Linked DNA regions of Arabidopsis thaliana. The protein of the gene in region 2 interacts with the protein of the main gene of each other region in a pairwise test. Each region holds a gene or a part of one and is shown on either strand. Other genes may lie near its edges.

What was found. Proteins that work in one complex are often made in the same cells at the same time.
Region 1: the proteins of WAV2 (region 2) and AT5G01800 interact in a protein complementation assay, tested with the Arabidopsis thaliana proteins (one large-scale study listed by BioGRID).

Annotation. Positions count from the first base shown.
Region 1 is NC_003076.8:305,249-309,003, reverse strand, and holds the start of AT5G01800 (saposin B domain-containing protein), read right to left. Parts: upstream 2,066-3,755; 5' UTR 1,890-2,065; intron 1,598-1,889; 5' UTR 1,583-1,597; coding exon 1,495-1,582; intron 1,273-1,494; coding exon 1,124-1,272; intron 1,029-1,123; coding exon 828-1,028; intron 689-827; coding exon 629-688; intron 514-628; coding exon 358-513; 3' UTR 1-357. Other genes in the region: AT5G01790 (uncharacterized protein), read left to right, coding at 3,321-3,755.
Region 2 is NC_003076.8:6,944,692-6,948,446, reverse strand, and holds the start of WAV2 (alpha/beta-Hydrolases superfamily protein), read left to right. Parts: upstream 1-1,932; 5' UTR 1,933-2,131; coding exon 2,132-2,369; intron 2,370-2,658; coding exon 2,659-2,694; intron 2,695-2,824; coding exon 2,825-2,903; intron 2,904-3,014; coding exon 3,015-3,069; intron 3,070-3,161; coding exon 3,162-3,278; intron 3,279-3,755. Other genes in the region: BRXL4 (BREVIS RADIX-like 4), read right to left, coding at 1-314, 406-504. UniProt on the Arabidopsis thaliana protein: Involved in the regulation of root growth. Involved in the suppression of the root bending in response to touch stimuli, gravity and light. Negatively regulates stimulus-induced root bending through inhibition of root tip rotation.

The DNA.
Region 1 (3,755 bases), 6.6 Mb from region 2:
CTGACATTTATTCGCTTGTGGGTCAGTTTAAACCAGCTTGGCGGCCCCTAACTTTTGCCAACTGTTTCACAGAAGAAAATGGTGGGCGAGTGATTGAGTACACGCATCAACGTAACGTTTTAGCGAAAATCAGACTACACAACATGGGCAATGTAGAAATTAGCAAAAAGGCCCATCGATGGACAATGGGCCTTTAGACAGCGTTCTTTTCAAATCACACAAGAATCATCAATCGTGTAGTTATGTTTTTAATATATCAATCAGTATTTACATGACCACCGGGTTACCAAATTAAATTAGCATCACGATCATGGCATGGTATTAGTGTGAATGACGACAAAACCAAGGTGGCCGAATTTACGAATCTGCCAATGACTCCACCGCAGGAACGTAGTCACGGTGGGTGGCTGGACCTGGACAGACGTGGAGGATAGTGCACACGTCTTTCTTCTCCAGAAACTTCTGCAAATCCGTAAGCATCAGAGGCCCGTACTCGAATACCATCTTCTTGCACTATTCACCATCATAAACAAACACATTGTTATTATCTGATGATGATCCATAAAAGTATCACAAAACTCAGCTTAAATAGAGAGAGCTTTGCGGGCATTCTTTATTAGTTAGCTACCTTGTCCTGGTAATTGTTAAGCGACTTGCATTCCTTGAGAAGTAACCGAATTATCTTCAGCTGCAACATTCACAAGGCAAAAGTCAATCTTCAGCAGCAATAATAAATATCTCTAACTGATATAATTCTTAGTGCTAAGCCTAAGGTTTGCGACACAGAATAGGTATGTGATAATAGAAGGAATGAAGGTTGAGCAAACCTTAGTCTCAGGATCCTTGAGTTTGGTGACAACCTCAGAGACAGTCTCGCGGCAAGCCTCGCAGTTTCCTTGATGGACTTGAGAGGCAAAGGCCGGTGTCACAGCTTGACAGAGGTTAAGCCGTTTGCAGATTTGGTCTGATTTGATAGTAGAGACTTGTGTGAAGAAAAGTTGGGTGTAATGATCTACCATTGAAAGACACTGCAACAAACACATGAGTTGGGCATAGTTAACATATAACCACGTCTGAGAAAAGGAATAGAGAAAGCAAAAACAACCAAGGACTCAATGAAGACCTGTTTTTTGAGAGGAGGAATCTGAGAGCAGCTGATATGAAGGGCCTCAACGAGTTCATTCTGGTTGTCGTAGTCTTGAAGGTAATCAATGACTAGCGTGACATACTTGTCACATAGTTCACAGACTTGGTTGTCATCATGAGCTGATTCTGCAAACGAAACAATCATACATAGGAGATCAACACAAATATTATATGGAGCAAACTTCTTAAACCCAATTAAAAAAAAAAACATACATCAGGATGTCTATATCAGATTGAATGCTTTCTGAAAACGTAACGTATTCAAATAATCCAGTGAACAGATTTTAACAAATTTGAATTAGAAACAGGTGCAAGAGAGACTCTAGATGCCTTCAAAAATGTTCTTACCGAATGGTTCGAGAAGAATCGGGTTTGTAGCATGACAAGACCAGCTCAAGAGGAAGAGGACTAGGAGGACTCCAAATCTACCGCCCATGTTTCCTCGTGAGATCTATATATTACCAAATTTAATGATGATGGATCAAAAACCGATTTGGAGATGGCCATATTCATAAGTCAACAGACACTTTTTGGGGGATTCCGATTTTGAGTTGTCAACAATTTTAGGTTGAAACGCTAAATTAAACAGATCTAAATCAAACCATAAGCGCTAAATAGGTCTGCATATACGACGAGACTGGGGACAAATTAATATGTGCTAAAAGCTCTTATTCCATAGAATCGATACATAAACAACAATCAAATAAGTGTACGAAAAGATGAAGAAGAAGAAGCTAGCTTACACGGCCTCCGATGAAGAAGCTTGGGTATCAATTAGATCTGATTAATGAAAGAGAGCAACCGATCGACGATCGACGATCTTCGATGCTGCTGGGGTTGCTGCTCTCTCTCTCTTTTTCTTTTTTTTTGTGAAAAAGCAAGAGTCTCCTCTCATTTAGATCCATGGTAACAGAATTATATGATTGGCCCTTTTTTTTGTCAAACATATGATTGGTCCTTTCTTTATTATTATTATTATTTTCAATCTAATTAAAGGGCTGTAGTATCAAAATTACTTTTAAAATCTATATTCACATTACCTATTTTGTTTTCCAAACAAATAAACTAACTAGTATTTTATTTCATCTGCTATAAGAATATGATACTCCAAGTTTATACACCTCTGGACAAAATTGTTTGTTCCATTTTCTTCTCCTTATTTTGATACTGTCAATACCTTAATGGAGATGTTTAAACCGTAATTAATCGCATTTGTATGATATTCGCCAAATTATCTTTCACAACCCAACAAATGAGAAATTTGGTTGTTGGTTTTAAACCTTATAAATAGGTCACGGTTCTCAATACTTTAAAGACCTTCAATTTTTTAAAAAAAAAATCTCTCATTTTTCTTTAATGGACGGAAGAAAATGTAATTATGTCTTCTTGTTTAACCTTTAACGAAGAGATGTAAATTCTGATGAGGGGAGCGAGTATATGAATATCACATGAAAGATATTAATGCAAAAGAATGGACCGACCATGGGGTCTATCAGTGTGTATATACTAAGGAAAGCAATGCTCGGAGGTATGTGGAGCACATGTAGGAATGCATGGGTCGTGGCTCGTTTAGTCATACACTGTTTTCCAATTTAATCAGATAAAAACCAATTATTCAATTCATATTGTTTTCATCAATGGTCCTATCTACTCTCCAAATAAATGCTTCTACAATAACCACACCTTTCTTAATAAAATCTACTCATCAATGACATGTTTGTGTTGAAGTTATGTATATGTTGGCTTGTAATGTAAATATTCTCATGGATGAATCGTTAATTGCTATATACATGTGATACAAATATCTTGCCTTGAGTATGACGTATTTAGATCTCCTCATTATTCATATGTGAGTGTTTTCTTTTGTACCCGGTAGCATTACTTAGTGTTCAAGGGTCTAATAAGTTGTGATGACTTTATATATCCATCGAGTGGTTATTGCCTTTGTAGGATTGGACCAACACACTTCGAGATGTATCTTTATAAGTTCTAACTATGAGAGCTAATTAACCGCACTATTGAAACTATTATTTCACTATCATTAATTATTACATTTTGCTTTTAATATATAGTTTCTATAGACACCAAAGCCAAACAAATAAGCCCAAAAGTAAAAACCGTACCAAAGACACCAGGCACCCATATATACATGATAGATTGACTCCATATGTCTCATGCACACATCTCTCCCTCTCTTTCCTTCCCTCTCTCTCTCTCACTCTCCCAAGACAATAATGCCAAACGCGGGATCTGAGCGGGCAGCTTCACTCTCACTGAAAAAGCAAGACACCGCCACCTTCTCCGGTAAGCTACCGTCGACCAAACAACGTTTTTCGTCGGTATCAGCTGCTTGTCCTTCCTTTAGAATCTACTACTACGACGGAGCCGCCGGTGCCGTCCCTTTCGAATGGGAATCTCATCCAGGCACACCCAAACACCCCTCCTCTGAGCTACCTACTCTGCCACCTCTCACTCCTCCGCCGTCTCATTTCTCTTTCTCCGGCGACCAAATCCGCCGCCGTTCCAAAAAGTCCACCAAGAAAATCCTCGCACTAATCCCGACAAGGCTCTTCTGGCTATCGGGCGATCACAATGGTAAGGCTAAGAAA
Region 2 (3,755 bases):
ACCCGGTTTCTCCCACTCGCCGATTTCGGAGTCGCTTCGCCGCTCGAAATCCCTTTTAGTCTCGCTTCCATCTCCTTTCCCCAAACCCTAGGCTGTTGTTGTTGCGTCGCCGCCACCGCCGCCGTAGCTGTAATCGAACTGTTTGATCTTCCGTAAAGCATTTTAAACCGTTGATCCGATTCGAAATCCGACTTTACCGACGACGACGACGGATTGTTCTTGATCGGACCTTGTCCTTGTCCCTGACCTTGTGCCGCCGTACACGGCGTACAATGCCGGTAAGCTCCTGATGCTTTCAGAGCCATATCTTTGAGCTGATATTGAATTGACGAAAATACCCTCAATCAGAAGAGAGAATTACGAAAATTGGAGACGGAGGAGAAGAGTGAGTTTATTTCAATTTACCTGAGATGTTAGAGATTTGGCGTTTTTAGAATCTGGATCGTCTGGTTGACCGGAGGATTCATCGCCTGCTCGCTTCGAACGAGCTATACACGTCAGCATTTTCCGGTGACTGGCTTGGTCTTTGATTTGAGATTTTTTTTCTTTCTCTTTTTGGATACGGAGAGAGAGAGACAGAGATGGTGTCAGTTTCTTCTACTTTGGTTTGGGTTCGGTGCTCTTTTTATGTTTTATTCTCTCTTTTTTTTTATAATTTCTGCTTAAGAAACTTTAAACCGGGATTACCGGTTTCCAATAAAGGTTCCGCGTCTCACTACGGTAATTACGCAATCCGGTGGTTAAAATTTCGAAAGTGAAAAAAGTAAAAAGTTTTGGTCTTGCATAAGGTAAGGTAAATCATTTTTGTTTGTTTACTGATTAGCTAAACTTGTACAGAGGTTAGACTATATACATGATTTTTGGCCTGTGGATTTAGACTTTCAGAGGTATCAAAGGTCGTTCTTCACACTCAAGTAGCCAAGTGTGCTGCAAGATTTGAAGTTAATCGATATGTATGCAAAATTTGACTCTGACTTTTGAGAAACCTAAAACGAAATAATTTATTATGTGTGGTTCTAAGCTAGATCACAATAATAAAAAGTTGTTCTTAGCATTATTCATTAAATGGGTACTGTAGTGTGTTGTTCATAACGCTTCTGATGGCAACTCATTGACATTTAATTTAAGGATAGCAATATGTTCCGTCCGACAATATTTATGTATGTGACGTCTTCGTCTACATTACATTTCAAGTGAATAATGATCCAACGACTCGAAAATATTAATAGTGTAAGTATTTTTGTTGTTGTTGTTGTTGTTGTAAATTTGGTAATGTACTAAACTGAAAATTAAAATGTTTTGGCAAAGGGTGGTGGTCCAAGACTTGTTTAGTTTACAAACAACTCTTCAGTATTTTTCTTTTTTTTCGACCAGCCACTATGGTCTTGTTATCGTTGAGTGTCAATATAACCTTTCTGAAACATTACACTAGGGTCACTAAGATAAATTGGTCTCTTCTCCACTTTTATTATTTCATATACAAATTTGTATGTACCAAGATCTTATCCACAAAATTTCGTTTTTCCCAAAACTATTATAATATTATTAAAGAGGTCAAAATGGTTTGTGCTTGTTTACAATATATTTAAGTTTTTTTTTGCTAAGTTTCTTACAACATTTCAAAATGCATGACAATGATTTTACTTAACTCATTTAAGCAAATAACTTCGCGATACAAACAAAAATCAAGTTACTATTATATAAAAATCAAGATAGAAACTGTAGAATAATCTATATAATTGTTGAGTACAAACTTTACAACTTAGCCGAACTATTGATTAGAGTTCATCGGGAAATGTCATATTTGAGTATTGTTGGTGGACTCGCAAATGAACAATTTAGACCACCAAATAGAGCTACATTTTCTTATGGTGAAGACTCAAAATCGGTTTGGGTTTAGCGCATAGATGGGCTTTAGTTTCGGCCCAGTGAAACTCTGTCTCAATCCTTCTCACCTGTAAACTTAAAAAAAGAAACGAAGAAGCTCTTTTTCTCCCCTCTGAAGAAGAAAAGCAAAATCCACGAGAGAAACAGATAGAAAGTTGCAAAAGTGCGTTCGATTTTTGCTTCTTCTTCTGTTTCGGATTCGGATTTGGATTTGGAATCTGCTCCTTTAGCAGAACCAGAGGAAATGGTGACGTACGTGAGCGCGTTGTTCTACGGATTCGGAGGGATAGTCGTCGCCGGAGTGGCGCTGCTCGTGGCTTTCCAGGAGAAGCTTGTGTACGTCCCAGTGCTTCCGGGTTTAAGCAAGTCTTATCCGATCACTCCCGCTAGGCTCAATCTCATCTACGAAGATATTTGGCTTCAATCATCCGATGGTGTACGTCTCCACGCTTGGTTCATCAAGATGTTCCCTGAATGTCGAGGTCCACACTCTCTTTGATCATTGAGTCTCCTTTCGATTCAGTTTTTTTTTCCTGGTAGATTTGATTTTACATTTTCGAATAAGCTTTTGAATCTACTGAATTTTGAGGGATTTTAGGTCTTGATGTCTCTGTCTTTAGCTAGGTTTTGGATTCCTTTTCTCAGATTTGTGATCCCTAAGTCATTTTAGCTTTAGTTTGGAACTTATCTGTCACCTAAAATCTAGTTGCTTGTGGTTGGTAGCTTTAGCCTAATTCGAAGTCTTTCTAATAGTTTATGTTTGGCATGCAGGTCCAACCATTTTATTTTTCCAGGAGAACGCTGGAAGTATCCTTTCCAGAGCCATTTCTTGGTTTTTGTTTGTTTATATTTGTATGCTCTAAGGAACCTATTTTATGTTCCATGTCTGTTAGCTGGGATACTTTGTCTTGTTACGACCTTGACCTTAGAATCCCAGACATCGCTCATCGTCTGGAGATGGTTCGCATCATGATACAAAAATTGAAGTGCAATGTATTCATGCTTTCATATCGCGGGTTAGTTTCAGTTTGCTGGTTTCTGGTCTATCTCTTATATAAATTGTTTGTTTTTGAGTCTAAACCTTGGATCTGTTTATACAATGCTTATTGATTTTCCCGTGCAACCAGCTATGGGGCAAGTGAAGGCTATCCTTCACAACAAGGTATCATAAAAGATGCTCAGGTTTGCTTGTCTCCCTAAATTTATCCACATATCTCTTCTGTTGCGTCTCCATGTATTCATTATCCATTTTCTTGCCTGATATTTTTTGTTAGGCTGCATTGGATCACCTTTCTGGAAGGACTGACATTGATACATCTAGAATAGTTGTATTTGGAAGGTCCCTTGGGGGAGCTGTTGGAGCTGTGCTTACCAAAAACAATCCAGATAAGGTACTATTAGTACATATTGCTATTGGTAGCATTTCATGAGTAGGGAAAATGTATATTTTATTAGAAGAGAGACAGTATAGGCCAAGTACCAGCCGCCAGCTCTGTGGATGTTACTGTTTAAAGGGAGAAGTATTATTGAGAGTCCCACATGGTTACGAATGAGACTAACAAATGCCTTATAAATTATAACGCCTAAGGGCACCTTCCTCTCTCCTCTAGGGGCTTGGTTTGGATGGCTTCTTATCAGTATATTAATGAGATTCTGGTTACTGTTGCAAATTATTATAACTCATGGTCTTTGGCAGATGACCTGGAGTCCAATTGTATAAAAATTTCTAGAGTACCTCTTTATTTAGATTCTAGTCACTTATCATCAGTAACAATCTACGCGGTTTGTACTATCTGAATATAATTATTTTTTGTGTTAAAGTTTTAGTCATCTGGCAATAAAAGAACCTGGTTGATAGGGGTATTCGT